3 linked regions of the Caenorhabditis elegans genome follow. The protein of the gene in region 3 interacts with the protein of the main gene of each other region in a biochemical or structural test. Each region holds a gene or a part of one and is shown on either strand. Other genes may lie near its edges.

Region 1 (7,880 bases), on a different chromosome or scaffold from region 3:
TCGGAAATTGTCGGCCGCCGTGGAAACCTACCCCAAACCGGATGCATGTGCGTTCGGTGGTGTCAAAATCGGACGACGCCGATTTGCACAGCCCTAGTTTGAGAAAACATTCCGCACTGGTTCATTTTGTTGAATTGACGGTCGGCAATTGCCGCGCACCCCTTGATTCTCTCTCTCTCTCTCTCTCTCTCTCTCTCTCTAATCTATACTCTCTCTAATCTATACTCTCTCTAATCTATACTCTCTCTAATCTATACTCTCTCTAATCTATACTCTCTCTAATCTATACTCTCTAACTCCATTGCCCTTACTCATATCTCGTTGGGCCACCGTGAACGGGGTGCCACTATCCAGCAAAAGAGGAACATGTGCACTGTATTGACGGGTGCCACCACCACTCGAACCACCTGACCCCGATCCCAAACCGGTCAGGCCGGATGGGGGAAGGGAATGCGTTGAATTTGCAGAGTGACGTTTTCCTTGGCTTGAATCACTTTCCCGTTGTAGACGGAGTTGATTGATTCTATAACTCGCTTGTTTTGAAATTTTCTCTATTTGCATGTTTATATTACTTTTCAGCCTTTTCCAGTTTATCCTTGTACTCCTTGTATTCCGTCATTCCAAGATCACCGGCAATTCGAACCAAGAATTTGAGGCAGTCGAGGTCTTGAGGGAACTTGCGATGAATCTGACGATAAAGCTCGAAAGCTCTTTGGTAATTGCCTGTCCGTCGTAGGCAACTGGCTATCATCATTTGCCATTTTGAAACGTTTGGCCTGAAGCGCACATTATTCATAATTTTATTCATCATGACGCAAGACTAATGTTACGAAACATTAGAAATTAAGTACTTACTGCATCAGGGCAGCCTTCTCCAAGTAGTTGATGGATTTCTCAGAAAACTGAGTTTCTAAATAATAAGAAGCCAGCCATTCAACGGTTTCCAGGTTTGATGGAAAATATCGATAGCTCTGAAAAACCATAAGTCGGATATTTTATATTATGGGTTTAAATAAGTTCCTGGTTATAGTACATAACTTTTTTTGCTGCTGATCAATTTTTCTAAAACTATTCGGAGCCACTTTTTGCTCCTTTTTAGTTTTTGACTAAGGAATTAAGGCGGATTTTGATTAATTCGAAATAAATTGTAAGAACACACTGAAAGTATAAAAGTTTCAAAAAAGTCGTTAAAAAAATTTTCAGGAATTTTTTAAAATATAAATTTATTGATTTTTTATTCAAAAAATGATGCAACCAAATTTAAACTAATTTTACACATACAAAACATCCGAGTTCAATATGTCTTACTCAAATGGATATTGAAAATATGATTTTTTCGAGCTCTTTTTGAGTTTTTTGAGAATTTTTCGAGAAAAATTTTTAAATCAAAAATAAAATAGTTTACACTAGGTTGCAACAATTTTGTAAAAAAAATCATGAATTTTCAACAAAAAAATTTTTTTTTGTTGAAAGCATTTTTTTTTCAAAAACTTATACAAAAAGTGTCGGAAATTTAAAAAAGTGAAAAAAATGACGTCAGAACTGTATTAAAATACATAAAAAAAATGTATTTTAATACAGTTGTGACGCCATAAATGTATTAAAATAGATTTTGTAACATTACTTCCCCATAAGACTTGAGACTTACAACTTTGAAAAATCCTATTATAAACCTCAGTTATGAACTGAACAGAAGTGGCTCCGGGTAGGGACACTTGGGTGGTAAAACCTATTTGAAATAACCGTCAAATGAAAAATCATCTTTAATACCATAAATTCTTACAGTTTTAGAAAAATCAATAAGCAGCGAAAAAAGTTATGATTTTTTTGACCCGGAATTTATTCGGTCCCATAATATTCAATTATACAAACTGACGTCATAATGACATTGGAATGCTTGAGACTTGTCACCTTCTTGATCATACAAATCCGCCAGCTTGGAAAGGATTGCAGGGTCATTTGGAACCAAACTGTTTGCCTGACTATACAGCTCGATTGCTTGTGCAGAATCTTCCAATGACTCGTATCTAAAGTAACAATTTTGTTTCAACACTCATAACGTTTCTGTTTTACATAGAAGCCAATTGCACTAGCACTTGTACATTATTCAGAAGGATTCCATGAAGTTTGTAGAAAAATTCAAGTGCCTGCTCCAGGTTGCCTTGCGCTTTTGCAGTTAGTCCAATATTGAACAATGCTTGAACACAACTAGCGTCATTGTTCAACGCCTCTCGATAATTATTCAAAGCTTTGTCCAAATCGCCGTTCATGTACGCAATGTTGCCTTGGTTGACTTGAGCATGCGCATTATAGCGGTCAATTGAAAGTGCCTGGTCAGCATATTGCTGTGCATCTACTAGACGGCGTCCTCCTTGCTGCAAGTTGAAATATGCAAAAATGAGGTAGAGAAGTGCCGGTGGGAAATTGAAATTGCATTAAAACATGATTATGACATGACTATGACACCACTATGACCAATTATCAAAATGCGAAAATTCCAAAAAAAAAATCTAAATTTTATATGATTTTTTGAAAATTGAAAAATTGGAGAAATCTCAAATCTTTTTGCAACTTTTTCTGTTAATAAGACTGTTAATAAGAATTTTCATGAATTAAAAAAATTTCACATTGATATTTGGTCATTTTGGCACCATATAACTGGTTTTAACAATTTCTATACTCCACTTTCAACTTACCAAAAATCTCAGCATACAAAGATTGTTTGCAGCCGCACTGGCTGTTTTGGAATCTTGCGAATTAAAAACTTTCAGCACTTCGATTGCTCCCTCAATATCTCCGTTTTTCATCAGCTCACCAGCTTTTGTCATTTCAAGTTCAATTGCCAATGGTGCGTGTACAGACTGCTTGAGAGATTCAAGGCACCATTCATAGCCGATAGCGTAGCTGGAAGATTTCTATTTATTTATCTTTTTACTTATGTATATCAAAAACTTTTATATAACGGAATTACGCAACCGGAAGGACAACATAATACCAACTAATAATACAAAAAGATTTTGAAAGAAATTCGTTCAAACCATTTTCTGTCGGTTGCCAAAAATATTGTGCCTAACCAAGTGCAAACTATTTTTGCACATACAAAAAATTTGGGTTTGAATATTCGATCTCGAAATTATCAAAAAAAAGTATGATTTCTATCCTGAATTTTTTGTAAGTGTAAAAATATTTTCACTTGGTTTTTTTTGTTTAAAAAAAAACTAGAATTTTCGACACAAATTCAGTTGAAAATTTTTAACAACCGACAAAAAAATTTTCAATTGTTTTTTGTCATCTTACTCTGTATTTTCCTGACATTCAAAACTCACTCAGGAGCAATAACCGGGCTAATAATCTTCACTGCAGTAATGATTGCTTTTTCAGCATCCGACTTGTTCCGTTTCTCCCAGTTTTTCAGCATATCCGAGTTCAAGGTCTGATTCAACAAAACATCATCATCATCTTTCTCTTTCATGTAGTCATCATCCGGAAACCCAGGAATATCAATCATTTTCACAAATGCTTCTCTCATTTTTTCTGCGTCTTGTATGCAAAATGCTACCAATACTGTAAAATAACATTAAAAAAAATCAAATTTCTAGTGATAACCTACTCAAGTTGAGGGCTGTAATAAAATTCGGATTTTCTTCCACACAATGATCAAAAGTGCTTATGGCATCGTCATAACTTCCCATTCTGACAAAAGTTACACCAATATTGTTGAGAATTTTAATTCTTGTATCTTTTTGAATACTCGGAACTTGATCTAAAGCCATCCTGTAGTATTTCAAAGCTTTTGTGAATTCACGTTTGCGGAAATGAATATTTCCAATATTAACCTGAAAAAATATATATTAAGCTTAGTCAAAATAATGAAAAAATTTTACTTTACTGTTAATGCTCAACCCTTCAAATGTTGATCTGAAATTGCTTCAGCACAATTTCTAATATTTTCAAGCTTTGTAGAATTGCTCCAAACGCTGTTTTTATATACTAGGAGATTTTAAGAAATTTTGACTCTTTAAAAAAACTGGAAATTTCCAAAACATTTCAGAATCTTTACCAACATCTAACCAATTTGAAAATTATTAAAAGTATGCAGAAAAAGCATTTGGAGCAATTCTAAAGAACTTGAAAGTATTAAAAATGCACTGAAACAATTTCATATCACAATTTGGATGGGTGGAACTTTGCAGCCCAAAATTTTGTTAGGACATACATATCCTTAAGAAAAACTTTTATATTTACCTTTAGTCTCCCAGAATTTGGGAACATTTTGTTCCTTACAATGATTTCATAAGTGTTTAGCGCTTCATTAGTCATATCATTCGCTTCATATTGCTGAGCCAAGTTGAACAACACGGTGAAAGTTAGATCCAAATTCATCATCTCTACCAATCCCTGTTGCTCCCTGTGCTTCACAACTGCTCTTTCACGTCGCCCAGCTTCCTTCGCTTTATCCAGCGCTTCTTTGAACTTTTTCTTCTCACTAGCCAGCATACTTTCTCGGAGCATTTCCATTACTTTGTTTTCCATCTGCCGACATTTTTCTTCACCACTACAAGTTACATGATTTTTCAACTAAATTTCGCAACTATATATTCTTACTTTTCACCCGAGTTCTCGGTACTTAGTGGTCTTTCTGCGGCTTGAACTGAAAAAAAGTGACTGTGAACAAATAGTTTAGGACGGTGCGGATGTCACCTTTATTTGCAAAGGATGTATATCCGGCTCCGCGGACAGCGGTCATCGGTCTCGCAGGTTCATTGTTGTTAGCCATGGCTGTTCGACCGCCCATTCGACTTTGATCTGAAAAGAACGGATCCTGATTGCAAAAAAAAAATGTAGTTGGTTACTCACTTCCCATCATCGTTCCCGGCGGTTTTCCATAAGAGGAGGAAGCATCTCGGAATCCCATTTGAGATGCAGTCTTAGAAAAAGATTGTAATAAATTGTAATAAAAATTTTCAAAAAAATTTCAAAGATTTTAAAAGTCAAAAAAAGGTCAACTTTGCCCGAAATTTTTTTTTTTTTTTTTTTTGCTGATGATTTTTTTAAAACTGTTTCGGACCGGAGCAGCAAGGTAAAATTTACCAATCGGAAAAATTTTTTAGAAAAAAAAGTTTAATCATAAAATTTAGTCAGTTTTAGTATTTTTTAAGCAAAATAACACACAAACTCAATTTCTCCTTTGATTGAAGTTTTAAAAATTTTTCTCTTTAAGGTAAAAAATTTCTAATTACTATACAAAACAGTTTATTTTCCAATTGTCACTCACCGGACGCCTTCCATGGCTCGACCTAGCAACGGCTTGTTGAAATTGTGGATTTTGAGTTATGTTCTGAATTAAACACATTTATTATTGCGTATTTACAGGAGGAGTAGAATCATTTAGAAATTTTGCTTGAAATGATAAAAAATAGGCCCTAATAGCCAAATGTAACTATAAAAAATGGGTCAAATGTTCCTTAATTTTTGATTCTTTTTTTTTCAATTTTTCAAAAATCAAAGAAACGTCTCATTTGAATTTTAATATTCGCGCGGAAAAGTTGACGTCATTTTTGATATTTTTGCGTTTTCGGGTAAATATTTATGTTTTTCAGATACTTTCTGCTATATTTTATTTGAAACCCGGTTGGCGGAAATTTCAAAATTGACCTAAAAATTGACATACAATTTTTTTGTCGGAAAAATGCTCTTAAAATTGGTAAATAAAGTTTCAAATGAGATATAAAAGAACAATGAAGAAAAACCAAGGTGACGTCACTCATTTGAGCGGAAATTTATAATCATATTGGGCGTTTCTTTGGTTTTTGCAAAATTGAAAAAAATATTTAAAAATTTAGAAAAAAATGTTTAAATTGTTGTACAGTAATACTATCATTTATAGCAAAAAATCATAGACTCTTATTCATTTTTAAATTATTATCAAACCTGAATATCATATGCTTTATCATACGAATCAAAACCGCCGTAAAAATCGTCATCATCTTCACGAAAAGTGCTGTTCGCCATTAAGAAAAGTGTTCTCAGAAGAAATAGAGAAGAGTGCGCTGCTTGGTGTTCTGGTTGCCATGGCACCCAAGAGAAAACAATTTTCGTCAAGCTAGCGGAGCGTTGCCATAGTAACTATGTAAGCAAGAGAGAGAGTGTAACACCGAATGAGATGCAATAGTTTATACATGTATAGGTCTGAGGGGTTTTCAATGACAATATTAAGTTATGGGGTTCGAGTCTTTCAATTTCAAAACAATAAATTATAGGCAAAACAAGAAAACAGCAAGAGAAATTATGATTGATTGAACAAATGAGATCGCGGACGAAGAAAGTGTACAGAATGGAAGGTAAATTTGAATTGGCCGTTCAACTGCTTGGATAACTGTCAGAAAAGAGCCAAGTCCACAGGTTGTTTCAATTGCAGGACGAATGCAGTCGGTATATGATTGAAGTGCACTGAAAGCCATTTTTGTCAGTTGTCAATTAAATCTATAATATGAAAGCTCACAAGCATGCTCCGGCTCCTGACGAATAATCATTGTACATTTGTTCAGTGTTTCTTGCCAATTGTGTGAAACTTGCTTCACACATTGCAATCTCCCTGCTTTCCGCAACAGACAAGTAGCAATTCCAGTTGTTGAGCATTGCTGAAAATTTTCCAAATTCTACGCTTTACAGGATAATTTTCCTAAGTCATACATTGATATCCTTCTCCACAAACATAATCCAAGACTGAATCGACAACGGAATAGCGAGACTTTAGCGGTTCGTGCGGATAGCAGGCTTGTTTGATGTAGCTCCCTCCGAGGCAGTTGTTGAATCTTTGATAAGCCCTGAGACCAGATATAAGTTTTAAAATGTTGCGAGAATTATATTTATAGGAGTAACGGTTCTGAGTATTTGAAGCATATAAACTCAAAATGTGCTCAAATAAACAAATTTCGTAATGAAACTTCTCAACAAACTCGTTTTCAAATTTTTTTATGGCAGTTTCGAATTAAAAAAAGGAATAATTTTAGCTTTAATTTAGGCCAATTTTTGTGTCGCAGTGGTCCTAAGAATGGACCGTACTACCTGAATACTACTGTAAAATTTTTTTTTTGAATTTCTTATGATTTTTTCAATTTTGCAAAAATTAAAGAAACGACCGAATTAAATTTTAACTCCCGCGCAAATGAGTGACATCATTTTTGATAATTTCGCGTTTTTTTGGCTAAATTCATCGATTTTTCTTAATTTTTGAAATATTGTATCTTTTTGAAATTTTTGAAATATTGTATCACTGTTCGTCAATTTTCAAGCATTTTTCCGTGAAGAGAACTTTGGATAGAAATTTGCGGAAATTTTAAAATTGGCCTAAAAATCGACAATATATAATATAATTTTAATTCTAACTTTTGAGGGTAAATATCTTTAAAAAATTGACAACGATGTTTAAATCAAATATTGGAAAAAAACCATGAAAAATCGCTGAAGGCAGGAAACGTAAAAAGGTCTAAAAATGACGTCACTCATTTGCGCGAGAGTTTAAATTTAATTCCGACGTTTCTTTGATTTTTGCAAATTTAAAAATCCAAAAATAGATTAGAAATTTTTTATCTTTTTGTTACAGTTTTTCTTTGTCATTATGATTCATTTTCTATTGTTTGAAACAAGAACATTTTTAAAATTTACTCCACCTCTAATCAACGAAATAATAGAGATAAAAAAGCAAAATATGCAATAAAAGATAATTATTCATAAAAAAGTTAACTTCGGACCGCTGAGACACGGAAAAGTGGCCAAAATTGGGCCACATTTGTTTTTTCAAATTTTTGAACTGGTATAATATTTTATTGAAATTTTTTTGAGAAGTGTTTTTCACGAAAAAGCGGCGCATTTTTTGT
Region 2 (7,827 bases), on a different chromosome or scaffold from region 3:
ACAGGAAATGAATGCGTGTGAAATTACAATGGTCTAGTATTGTTTAATAAAGATGTTTTCAAGTTATTATGATAGTATTCGTACATCAACATATATAACATCTAATTTAAACTAAATTACATGCGAATTATCGTTGTAAGCACGCATTTTTTCAAAGGTGGAGTATGGCCAGTGGAGAAATAAATGAAACTCATTCATATGAGCTCAACATAATGTTGGAGAACAAATATTAAAAACAAAAATACAAACGGTAGGACGTAAAACAAGGAGAAAATATTTAGTTTGATTGCCGATTCCCGAAAAAATTGAGTTTTCACCACTATTTGTATCGGAAAAATTTCCAAAGTTTAAAAAAATTTTATTATGATATTTGGTCATTTTAGCATTGCATTGTTGTTTCAATCATTCACCCATTTGCAGTAGTCCACCTTTAAATGAAATAATCTGAGTTATGCAAAAATGTGTCGATTTTAAGTTTTTAAGTTAAAAAAATACCAATTCCAACGCCGGAAGAGTCAAAATGTATTTCACGTTTACTTTAGTATGATATTTTGATTTCATTTTGTTTCAACCGCTTTTATTAAATTAACAAATTTCGTATTCTAAAAACCTATGTTTAATTTGATTAGTTTTTATTTTATTTTTTGATGTCGTCATTGAATAGACGAATACGTAGTCTCTGACTGGTTTTTGAAGCAGAACCGATTAGTTGAACATTTGATGTGAAATATGTTCTAGTCATTGAATATAACAGATATGTTTGGAAATATATCAATGGAAAACAATTACATCAGCAAACACACGTCACAAACATTGTTTTCACATACATTTCTTAGCGTGAGCAGTGTCTGAAACAGCATCGACAAAAAGCTGTTAGCAATTAAACATAAGGGAATCAGAAGCAAGCAAACAAATAAACCTCAACATTTGTCTTAAAGTTGTAAATATTTATGTCGCCATGAAATTTTTTATATTTGTATGGTTTCTGTATAAATTTAAATCGACATTGAAGTTGACATGAATAAAATTTATTTTTCGGAATTCAGCTGTCCGAGCAAATTGTGTCTAGACGTTTACTCTTTGGAACTTTTTTTTTCTGATGTTTGATTTGAAAATGTTTCACAAATGTTGAATTTCCTAAAATATTATATTTTCAGGTGTAATTGTTGATTTTTTTATTAAAACGTCAAAGTGAGATGGGCTAATTATTTTTGTCTATATTATGAACAGATGGACCGGCTCAAAATACCCGAAACCAGAACTAATTATAAACTTCCGTTTCTCTCTGCAAATGACGCAGACCAAATGTATTCCATGCGAATCAGGTGGATGTGGGGGCATTCTCAGCACCACTATACGTTAACTAGAATCAAGATATTCGCAGCATGAGAGTTTTACTTCATTTTTTACGAGTGTGCAGTTAGCTTTAATTTTAGCTATATAAGTGTATTTTCAACGATGCAAGTTTTTAAAGTTATAGTTTTGAATCAAAAATGTTTACATTCTTAATATTATTGCAAGTATCCCTTTTTTTATCAGTTTGAATTATACTTGCATCTATTTGTCATAGAAATATATATGAAAAATGCCAATTTCCGAAACTCATATGCTCCCTACAAAACGACGAAACTTCTTTTGTTTTGACCAATATCCCTCCTTTCCTGCATTATTTTTCATTCTCCTCCAATACGTTGTTTATGCTTCACCTGCCTGTCCAACATAAACGAACTTTTGAGAAAATGAGCTTTCCGGGTCTCCATGGTTACTTGCCACACAAACCGCTTTCCGGGTAAAGACACCATTACTTGTTGCAGGGTCCCAAACATATCGGCATTTGTTTCATGTTAACTATGTCATCAGAAACCACGGCACCAATGATCATAAATGAAAAGTCATCGTTGCCAGTAAAATCAGAACCGGGGCAGCTTGGGAATCCAATCAGCGATGAATCTTCAGAAGATGAGCAGAGCCAAATAAGGGCTCTAGAGGAAGATCAGGTGAGTAAAATGGTTACAATAATTTTTTAAAACCATTTTGAAACATCAAAACATGTAAAAAACGTTTCATCAAAACATAACACGCTTCCCGATCTCTGTAATTATCCACACGTGACGAATTATTTCGCAATAATCCGCTCAAAAAGACAAAAAACTCTTAAGTTTACTTTTAAATGTCGAGATTCAATATGCACTCAATTATGATCGATTAAAACTTGTTTTGTTCAATGTTTTGTTTTTTGTTTAAAAAAAAACAACAAAAATTGACATTTTCTTCTTTTGCGCGTCTTGGAGTTTCTATAGCAACCGAGAAAACTGAAGACAATCGACGTGGATTGCTTGAGAAACAAAACGGGTTTGCCAGCTAACTCAATTGGATTGCCAGAGAAATAAGATTTGAGCAGAAAATTTTCGTTCTCAGGGTATCTACTACAACGAAGAAGTGGTTGCTTCGCCGAAAAACGAAAGCGACGACGATATTCCCTTACGCCGCATTCAACTGAGTCATCAGACATCTACTCAACAACATCCAGAAGATTCGGAACCGCAAGAAGTGATTGACGTCAACGATATTGAACTACCAGCAGGAGAAGCTCAACCAAACATGGAACGAAGAAGTATTGTAATTTTTTTATTCGGAACTGTTAAAATGTTGTAATTTAGGATCAGTTCGATTTAGTGGGCGTCATGATGAAGAAGAAGACGGGCGTAACAAGCATTTTCGAACTCCATCACCCGAAAGTCTTCGTTATATTCAGGTGACTCTATTCATTGAAGCTTTCATAAATCAGAAATAAAAGCACAGTGGTCGGTGCAAGAGAGCGGGTCTTTAGCTTAAGCCGTCTTTGTCCTCGTCCCCATGGTGAATATCCACAACAGCTTGAATGAACATTTTCCATTGCATTCAATGACGACACTATTGAGTTTGAGTAGAATTTAATCAAATTGAAATCAAATTGAAAATAATTTGAAAATTGTCGTTTTGATTCTTTAGATTTGGCTTGTAACATTTTTTTAGCAATGGATAATTTGGAGACGGATTAGTAATACTGATTTTCATAAATGCACAGTATCGTCAATGGAGAAATTGTTTAAAACCACTCATTTGTTGCTATAATGACCAAATATCATAGTAAAGTTTTTCCTTTTTTTAAATGTTTTTTGTGCAGTCGGAAAATGTTGAAAACTTAATGTTCACTTATCATAAATTTCGAAGTTGACCAAAAACTCAATTGTTTGTACTTGAACATTTTAGATGAACCTGTAGAATTGTTTGAAATCTTTCATAAATTCTTCAATATAACAATTTTTGGCAATTTACCAAAATACCAAAGCTACGTACATGTTGAAAAATCTGAAAACTTTTTCCTTAAAAGTTTTTCCTTTCCAAGAGCAAATTAGTTATTTATACATTACTGAACAAAAACAATTATTGATAACTGATTTTCATGATAAAAATGAAAAGATTAAGCTTCCAAGCATCTATGTACACTCAAATATCCTTGGATCTAATAGTAAGAAATATCATACGAATTTTGAAAACTGGAGTGTCATGATATTTGATTTCCATATCAGTGTTTTCAAAGGTGAAGTAAACTTTTACGAACACTCGTAATGTCACTCCAAATATCTTTTCAATTTTATGATCAACTTTACAAAATTTTTCAAAACAAACTAATGCAACTCCAAGATGCAAAATTTCAAGGAGTAGTCAACATATGCATTGTATTGTACGCAGTATTAAAGCTGCGTATTTCTCTGAAACAGTGAAAAATCGTTAAATACGTTATATTTGGTACCTTTTGACAAACTGAGTTTCCAATAACGAAAACCCTAAAAATTGCATATTCTGGGCATTGCTACAAAATGTTTCGTTTGTTGATTGTCTACCTTTGCTATGTCAATAGCGTCAGAAAATGAGAATGTCTCTTATTGATTCAAACATTTTCAATTATTTTTCTTTTGTGTGACGTTTTAACTTATCTAGAGTTCAAGCTTTCAGCTGCCGATTTATATCAAAACTTCCTTCAATTTCAGAAACTACGGCTTTGAATAAAATGCACTTTTATTTTTTTTCCAAGAAACTTACATGCGTCTCAAATAAAAAAAAAGTTTTTCTGATTTTTTTTTATTTCAGACGACAAACGTTTACTTGCAAGGTTTTCATTGTACCAACTTGGTGATATAACTTTGCTTTGCTTGTTGATCCGTCACCATTACACATAAATCTTAACATCCTCCGCTAAGTTCTAGACAGAACATTGTATCACAAACTGAAATTACTCTTTGAGGCATGAAATCTTAACAGCAAAAATTTTGAAACTTCATTCTCAATGTTTTCCAATACTCCCTTTGCATTTCGTATAATAATCGGCTTGTGAACAGCTTCATATTTTGTTTTCGCATTCACGTATTCACTACCATCTAATTTCCGCTCATAGTATGATAAATGTGAACAGATGAGCTTGAAAAAGCGTTGATATTCGTGGCTAGGTAGATGAAATATTAGTGAGCGCGTCTGTGTGTCTGTGTGTGTTCGGGCGTGTTTCTAAGCGCAAAACAAAGTTTTGAGAATATAGAGCTTGAAAGTGAGAGGAAAAACCTCAGGAAAACCTTGCTGATAGGAGCTACTATTTCCTCATTTATTCTAAATGTTCCTATACTAATTTTTTGTATTACTGGAAAACTGGGTAAATTTGTTTTTGCTTCCACTAATAACCTTTCAGGCATTGGAAAATCCAATGGCGGCAAACGGAGAGTTCGAAGAAGAGTTCAATGATTTGGCTGATCCACAAGGTATGATTTTAAAATGTGTGAAAACGGGCACAAAATACCAAACTACTTAATTAGGCTTCTCAGATTCCAAACAGATTTTATGAAAAGTTGAGGTTTTGAAAAAAACATAGAAATGTTGTATGTTTCTAACTTTGTCTAATTGTGTGCATCCCAACGGCTTGAAGTTAATTTGTAATTGAGTTTTTTCTCGGTTTTTTTTTTCATGTTACTTCGTTTATGTTCGCATTTTTCTGACGGTTTAATTATATATTTATAGCTAATAGGTTACTGAAACTCAGTAATTCTACCGGATCAAAATGTACCTCAATAAAAAAAATTAACATTGCTCCCGTAGTTTATAAAGTCAAAGACTTTGTGCACACCAAGGGTGGGCGGCTAATAGCCGAATTAGCCGAATTAGTTGACAGGCTAATTCGGTTAATTCGGCTAATATTAGCCGAATTAGCCGTTAGCCGAGTTTCAATTTAGCAGACATTAGCCGAATTAGCCGCATTATCCGTTTGGCTAATTCGGCTAACACAATGGAGCACGATTGCAATGTTTGCAAACAAATTTTTGTGGTTTAATTGCTTTCAGTGTGTTTTTTGTTTCTGTTACCAAATTAATTGTTGTTACTTACTTGATAACCCAAATTAGTGCAAAACTTGCTGAATCAACAAAAAAAATCTAAAACTGATAAAGTTAGCCGAATTAGCCGAATTTCAGCCGACCGGCAAACTCGGCTAATTTTAGCCGAGTTAGCCGTTAGCCGACTTTTTTCCCAATTGGCCGAATTAGCCGTTAGCCAAAAATTATGAAAACCGGCTTAAGCCGAATTAGCCGTTAGCCGAAAAACGATTAGCCGCTCACCCCTGGTGCACACGCTTCTAGAAAATAAATCTTCTCATGCGAAATGATTTCTTTTTTTTTTCTTAAATCTTAAAGTTGTTAAAGTTTTACCACTCAATTTTTAAGTTGTTTCCAGTGAAGAGAAAACAAAAAAAAACTAAGCCAACTCAGTTTTTAAAAAATTGGACGGTAATTTTCAGTAAGATCGCATTCAAATAATAGCAATGATTCAGCGAAAAAATTGGATAAAATATAGAATGTTCACTCTTCGTGGGAGCAAACGTTTGAGTTGATTCGGTTTTTTTTCAATCCTGTACATTGAATGCAGTCCAACGTTACAAAAATGTGATCCTTTTTTGTTTTTGTCTGTTAACATTTTGACAACAAAGAGCGTGAAACAAATGATAATCACTTATGCTTATGAGATACTCATGCGTATAGAGTGCCTCCATTGTTTCTTTTGCTGATTAAATTATCAGTTCGATCAATGAGCTTTGAATTGATTAGGCTTTTTTAAAGTTTTTCTATAATCTTAAATTTATAACCTAAAAGGTTATGAGTCTCAGACATTTTATTTATATGTTTCCTAGCCAAGTCTAAACATGTAGCAACTTTGCAAAAAATGTTTTCTCAATTTTTAGATGTTGTTTTTGGATATTAAATTCGGAACCAACAAAATTTTGTTTCAAGATAAAAAGAAAACGAATCACATCCTAATGTGAATCTTGGATTAAGTAATAATAACTGTTTTTGAATTTCATAGGCCTCCAATGTTTTTCTTAATCATTTTTTTGTAAACGAATCAACAAAAGTTAAGATTCTGCGCATGTTTCTTTAATATTCAAATATTCTAATTGCTGGTTTTTTCCTAAAACTAAACTTGTATGTAATTCATTTGAAAAATCATACAGGCATTGGAATTGAATAGTAACAAAAATTGGAAAACGACTGTGAATATATTAGAAAATTGTTAAATTAGTGTTTTTGAAAAAACTTTCGGCGGGTTTAAAGTATCACATAATTGCATTATAAATTCTTACAAAATCGCGTATCTTTATAACATACTCAATGACCTAATATGCTCTATGAAAACCTGAATTTAAAAAAAGCTATAAAAAGAAAGTTCATTGTATTTTACTTATAATCAATTTTTCACTGTTTATGCTTTTAGTGCAGCCACCACCAATGGGATCTCCACCCGCCTACACTAGCGCCGATGAAGGTCCCAAGACGCCGCCACCTAGGGCTTCAGCTGGATCGAGTCAGTCTCGTGCAACACTTCTTGACATTCAAAATAAAATTGCAGATATGAGGCAAGAATCTATGAACGAATTGATAATGAGAAAAATATCTGACCCCCTTCAAAATTTGATTCGCAGAGCAAGCCGCCTGGAGGACGACAGCAGCAACGACGATGATGATGATGACGACGATGAGGATGACGGTAAGGCTACACACGGAAAACATTCCACAACATATATATTTCGCATAAAGTCTACAGAGACCTCTGATAATTAATTAATATCCACAAAAACATAGACATAGGTCATACTCTGGAACAAATTATTTTCATTTTACTTGTTTTTCAAGAAATTTATCCGAAAAATAACTTTTTTTATCGTATTCTTTAGTTTAAACTAACATACATTTTATTTTCTGATAGTGAGTAGTTTTCAAAACATTTCAAGAAGATACTTTTGAGTGTACACGACTTTCTCAATTTAACAAGTGAAGCATAATAAGATAACATTTAAAAAAGAACATATTTTGTATATATTTCGCGACGCATTGTATCATGTTTGTGGAAACTTTTTAATCTCAAAAAAAGCAATCAAACAACATTTGAATCCGTTTCTTCGGGAAAATACTTATAGATTTATCATTTTTGACCAATAATTGTATTCTATCTGAAGTCTGCTTTCAGACTACACCGAAGACGAAATTGCGATTCTGACTTATATCGACGCGTATAAAACACAAGAAGTAGAGTTGCGCCCGCAATTACGCCCATTCACTATCGAATACATCCCAGCAATGGGCGATGTCGACCTATTCATCAAAGTGCCAAGGCCAGACGAGGTATGTCCGGAATTCATAGCTCACGCAAACATGTTTATATAACCAAGAATTTTAGATTGACGATAATGTGGGGCTCACGCAGATTGACGAGCCACCCAGCAACCAGAGCGACGCCACAATTGTCGAT
Region 3 (5,090 bases):
TCGTTTGTTCCACCAGCTTCTGCACACCAAGCTCCATCAACAAAAGCCACAGTTGTCGAAGAGTCGAAGCAAGTTCCAGAAGGACGCGAACCCAGCGATTTGGCCACGTGGATTCACAATAATCCAGACGTCGTCAGAAATGTGGCTGCTGCAGCTGCAGTTGCTGGAGTTGCCGGTCTTGGTTATTACGTCTACGTTAAGAAATTTAAGTAAACTTTAAGATTTCAATTAGTTTTACCCTATAGTTGATACATAGGCTTTCTAAACTCTAAAAGAATAGTCATGAAAAACTGAAATCTAATCACCATCCCAGTTCATACATTCTTCCTCCTCATCACGCCCCGCCCATCCACCGCCTGAAGTTACCCGGTATTCAGTGTATTCTTTAATCATCCAATTTCTTACCGTTTTCTTGTTAGATATCCCAATCATTTAACCATTTTCTTCTCCGTATCGGGTCATTTTTCATCGTTTCAATTGTGCCCACTAAAATCCAAAACGTTTTTTTTTCAACATGAATATTTTATTATCTTATCTCCAGACAAATCAATCACAAATCATCGAACTCATCAATATCAGAGAACAGCTGCTCGTCCATCTCTTCGCCTTGATTAAAACTTTGATGATGAGCATCATGCTCTCCAATATCGAACGCTGATGCAACTTCCAACTCTCCATCCATCATTGAACGTTTGAATAACATGAGTTTGCTCACTGCCAACTCAATTATTTTCTTGGGGGTTCGTTCACTTCTTGTCAATTCAGCAGATATTCCAGTAATTTCACCAGCTTTTTCAATAAAGAATATGAGATCTTCTTCCTCGCCTGAAACTATTCCATTTATTATTTTTTCTGAATAAAAACTCTTACTTCTATTTGCGAGCTGAGAAAGTTGAATTTCCGGAGAGCTGAACTGTTCATCAAGATCAAATAATTCAAGAGGAGGCATTGGTAATTCTTGAAATGTTGGTGGAAATACTGCAGGTTGAAATGGAGGCATTGGAAGTTCAAATTGAGGTTCAACAAGGGTAAGTGGTGGAGGTGAAAGATTCAATGCTTCATACAATCTAGAATAAAAATGTTTATTCAAGTAGAAATGATGTTTTACACTAAAACTTATTGTAAACTTCATTCTAATATTCTTTCCAAATATCGAAATAATTTCAAAAGAAGGACGCGGAAACTTGCGCCTTTAAATGCTAAAAATTTAAACAGTACTGTAGTGTGACACTACTCATTATTCTCTTTTGACTATTAGAAAACAGAGTGAGGTACTACGGTAGTTGTTAAAGTCGCACGCTCTTTTCCGTACTTTATTCGTAAATAATTTGATCGTGTCGAGACCAGCTACCGTATTTTCAGGAAAACATCGCAAAGTTGGTGATTGGGTAAAACCGTGTTTCCATTTTCGAAAGCATGATTCTTGAATCTTTTTCTTAGTAATAACAAACATATTTCTGTAGTCAGGGGAAAGTATTTAGGGCACAGTACCTTATAGTCATTGGCCAATGTTTCAAATTAAAAGAATGCAACGAAGTATCCATAATCTTCATGAAATCCGAACTGATTGCCTGATCCAATTCTCCTTCGTACATACAAACCTGTTTGTTAGTTTGTCTAGAAAGTATAATTTTTTGAAGTCAAACCTTGATCTGCTGGGACATATGAATATGATCTGGAATATTTGTGTAATCATTAATTTCCGGCTCTGCAGCATCTATCGTGTTCAGTTCAAGACCATTGACCAGGAATTCCACAAATGTATCCTGAAATTGAAATTTTCCAATAAGGCGAGTTAAGAGGCGGGTGGGAGGCGCATCCTGCACGCCTCAACCAACCGGGGAAGTTTATTTCGAACCATATCAAAAATACACTTACAAAAATCTTTCCATTTTCTTCCTTATCGATGTATGTGTCATGAAACATCGAGACTGATCCAACCACACACACTCTACCTTTCTTTTTCTGAAAATAATATGAATTAATGTACCAATTTCAGAATATTCTAATACCATTTCATTGAGTTTTGTCTCATGAAAAGCGGCAACTGGGCGACTTGTTGGAAAACTTGTACTTCCAGAAGACAATACTACATTCGACATACGATTATTCACATCTAGAGTACATCCATATGGATAAATGAATGAAAGTGCTCTGAAATATTGAAATCACTTTTTTATTTTTGGAAAATCGGAAACCGAATTTTGTCCTAAATAAATAAAAAGCTAATAGTTCAACTCACTGTGAATTATGTTTTTGCTCAGTGCTCACATTCTTTTTTGCAGCCACTGCAATTGCTCGATTTATGACTCCATTTGCTACTAAAGCTTCTTTCGGATCAAAATATTTCAGGAATACAGTACGAATTACCGAATCTTGAATGTTGATGATTTTTGTAATTCATTTAATTTGATAAAGACATACCCTTATTCACAGTAATTCCATATTTTGCAATCATTTCATTTAATGATTGTCTCTCACCACCTTCACCAGAAAGGATCATCAATGAACCACCTTCTTCCACAAACTTCCATATTGCTTCAATCTTAAATTTTAATTTTTTGGGTGTTAAAATTAGGCTGAGACAATCAAATGAAATTTAATAAAATTTAAAATCCTAAACCTCTCCAGTTCCAAATGATGTCTTTGGTTGTGGAATGATAAGCATCCGAACATCTTCTAATCCATTTAAGTTAATTGGTTCTGTGTTTCTGAATTTAAAAATTATTATCTATCTGCGAGAGAAATTCAAATTTGGCAAAAATTACGGTAGCAGGTCTCGACGCGAGCAAAACAATTCCGCGCAAAGGATTGCTCGACTTCGAGGAGTACTGTAGTTTCCAATATTTTGTTTTTTTCGTTTTATTTTTTATTTTTTAAATAGCAGCTTAATTTGTTCAGTATAATTTGAATATTTATTCCAAAGAATTCAAAATAAGAAAATGAGAAACAAAAATACAAGAAACCTGCTTCTTCGCAGGATCCGATTTTAATTCGTTTCGAGACCGGGTATCGTATTCTTTCATCATAAATCGTAAATCTTTCAACTATGTATTTAATGTATAAAATGTTAAATATTCCAAAAAAGCTCACATTTCAACAGTAAGAACACTTTTTAAATGTCTTGCCACACCACGAAAACCACTAATCAAACTAATTTGTTGCTGTTTTGATTGATCAATCAGAACTTTTCTCCCAATACTCCGGTTCTGGAAAATGGAAATAATAAAATGCGAAAACTAAAATCTAATACTTACAGTCATCTTTTCGTCTGAAAATGGAGGCATAGATGTATACTAATGAAGGTAATAGCTTGAAAGAGATATAAGCCCCAAGAGAGGGAGCAGACAATGTGAGCGAGAAGCAATGAGTGGTTACTATGGTAACATGTGGATACAAATCTTGGAAGGGTCTCCTGGGAAAGGAACTACTAGAGAAATATATAGTTAACTTTGTTTTCTGAAATTTAATGAATTCCGTAATAGACTCCTAATTATTAAAAATGCAATTTCATTTTTGAAGTTTGATGAAAGATGTAATTAATTTTATAACAATTTATTTGGAACGAAAAAAATTTTACATGAAAACCGGAAGTGTGAAATCGTTGTTTCATAATTACATCGTCTTATACAAGATTATAGTTAATAAATAAATACCCATGAAATGTAATGAAAACTGAAAATATAACTACTACATATAAGCAATTATAAAATTAAAATGATACAAGAATACTGGAAATATCGTTTGGTTGGAGTCGGAATTGTTCAGCCTTGTTTCCTTCATAAAGATTGGTTAGTGACGTTTTTTTCGCAGACTTCAGTGTCGAGATCAATTTGAGTGGCTCAATTTCTAATCCAGTAGCTAAGCATGACGTGTCTGGGAGGGTAAGCCTGGATCTACAGTCTGGAACAACTCTATGCATCACCATCGCTGCTTTCTTCTCAGCTGCCGTAGATCTTTCGTTGGCTTCGTAAGTTGTCGGCGATGCCAGTGTTCTGAAAATGATTAAAGATGAGGGTTACTGTAGATTTCAGATTTTTTAACACCTAAATGTCACTAGATGCAGGTCACAGTTCAGCTCTTGTTCCACATTTTTCGAAGAAATAGATTTTGGTGTTGCATCTCCAATCATTTTGACAAGAGGATAATGAAGAGACCACGTAGCGAGATGACCAACATGTGAATGGAATCCAACTCGTTCTTCCTTCTTATTACCACTCGATGAAGACATCGGCTCAATAACAATACGGAAATGTGCAACTGTTCGTTTGTTGTCTCTAACTCCTTGCTGAAGACCTCTGTTGTCATCTGAACTAAGTCGTCGATCAAGCATTATTTCAATTTGTCCCGACGAGAGACTGCTAACTCCGAGAGCCTGTGCCGAATGAATTGACATTCTGGTAGTATCGTCTTCAATGTAAACACCAGCAGACATGGGATAGAAATTGGCCTGTGTTGGTAATTTAGTTTGTCGTCTCCTTTTTATCATTTGCATTCCATTGAGATCAGTGAAAAACTCATCACCACTATTTACTGAAGAACTGAATCTCAGTGCCAACTCGAAATTCTCCTTGGAACGTACATCAACTTCATTATCCAAATCAATCCATGGAAGCCCTTGATAAAGTGTGTACGTTTGCAATATTTTCAGATCATTGTTTGGAGTTGCAAACACTTTTTGAACAACTTCTCCTTTTACCAATATCCAATCACTTGATTGTTTTTTGAGTTCTCTAGCTTCTCCATCGGGAAGGAACAGGTATGCGCCAGCCGGGTTGTCTTCATTTCCATTTGCGACTGAAAGAAAAACATTTTTAAAGCGAACAAAAGATTTGGAGGAAAAGCCTAGATTTTGAAGGGATGAGAAGTGAGAGAGTGAAGAGGAGTGAAGAACGGATGCATCTCTTGACCCAAATCGCCTTATTTCAATCACTTGTTTATCATGTCAACGGCTGATTTGTATCATTTCGCGCTTCTACGCAGGAATGGTGATGTTCTATGCAGCTGCAGTTATTCTAGCTGTATCCGCAGTTTCAGGTGAGTTACTGAAATATTTTGTTTCATAAACTGCACTAGGATGCGTACAAAAT

The links.
Region 1: the proteins of osm-6 (region 3) and osm-5 form a complex in vitro, tested with the Caenorhabditis elegans proteins (one study listed by BioGRID).
Region 2: the proteins of osm-6 (region 3) and dyf-6 form a complex in vitro, tested with the Caenorhabditis elegans proteins (one study listed by BioGRID).

What each region holds. Positions count from the first base shown.
Region 1 is NC_003284.9:2,982,410-2,990,289, reverse strand, and holds the start of osm-5 (Intraflagellar transport protein 88 homolog), read right to left. Parts: upstream 6,028-7,880; 5' UTR 6,013-6,027; coding exon 5,932-6,012; intron 5,339-5,931; coding exon 5,276-5,338; intron 4,928-5,275; coding exon 4,858-4,927; intron 4,807-4,857; coding exon 4,702-4,806; intron 4,652-4,701; coding exon 4,606-4,651; intron 4,556-4,605; coding exon 4,246-4,555; intron 3,837-4,245; coding exon 3,611-3,836; intron 3,565-3,610; coding exon 3,327-3,564; intron 2,905-3,326; coding exon 2,697-2,904; intron 2,376-2,696; coding exon 2,074-2,375; intron 2,028-2,073; coding exon 1,877-2,027; intron 972-1,876; coding exon 856-971; intron 777-855; coding exon 573-776; intron 524-572; coding exon 312-523; intron 164-311; exon of another isoform or gene 62-163; intron 1-61. Other genes in the region: nspg-5 (DUF19 domain-containing protein), read right to left, coding at 6,255-6,450, 6,503-6,641, 6,694-6,827.
Region 2 is NC_003284.9:10,380,482-10,388,308, reverse strand, and holds the start of dyf-6 (Intraflagellar transport protein 46 homolog), read left to right. Parts: upstream 1-1,800; 5' UTR 1,801-1,850; coding exon 1,851-1,997; intron 1,998-2,418; coding exon 2,419-2,614; intron 2,615-2,660; coding exon 2,661-2,755; coding exon of another isoform or gene 2,756-2,794; exon of another isoform or gene 2,795-3,300; intron 3,301-4,723; coding exon 4,724-4,793; intron 4,794-6,792; coding exon 6,793-6,882; intron 6,883-6,927; coding exon 6,928-7,065; intron 7,066-7,545; coding exon 7,546-7,700; intron 7,701-7,755; coding exon 7,756-7,827. UniProt on the Caenorhabditis elegans protein: Component of the intraflagellar transport (IFT) complex B required for transport of proteins in the motile cilium. May be required for ciliary entrance and transport of specific ciliary cargo proteins such as che-3 which are related to motility.
Region 3 is NC_003283.11:11,924,120-11,929,209, forward strand, and holds osm-6 (Intraflagellar transport protein 52 C-terminal domain-containing protein), read right to left. Parts: upstream 3,328-5,090; 5' UTR 3,288-3,327; coding exon 3,258-3,287; intron 3,210-3,257; coding exon 3,094-3,209; intron 2,712-3,093; coding exon 2,624-2,711; intron 2,546-2,623; coding exon 2,425-2,545; intron 2,376-2,424; coding exon 2,243-2,375; intron 2,155-2,242; coding exon 2,013-2,154; intron 1,966-2,012; coding exon 1,879-1,965; intron 1,767-1,878; coding exon 1,647-1,766; intron 1,602-1,646; coding exon 1,492-1,601; intron 1,068-1,491; coding exon 871-1,067; intron 826-870; coding exon 551-825; 3' UTR 502-550; downstream 1-501. Other genes in the region: R31.2 (ANK_REP_REGION domain-containing protein), read left to right, coding at 1-213; aman-2 (Alpha-mannosidase), read right to left, coding at 3,713-3,995, 4,047-4,797; F58H1.2 (uncharacterized protein), read left to right, coding at 4,986-5,037.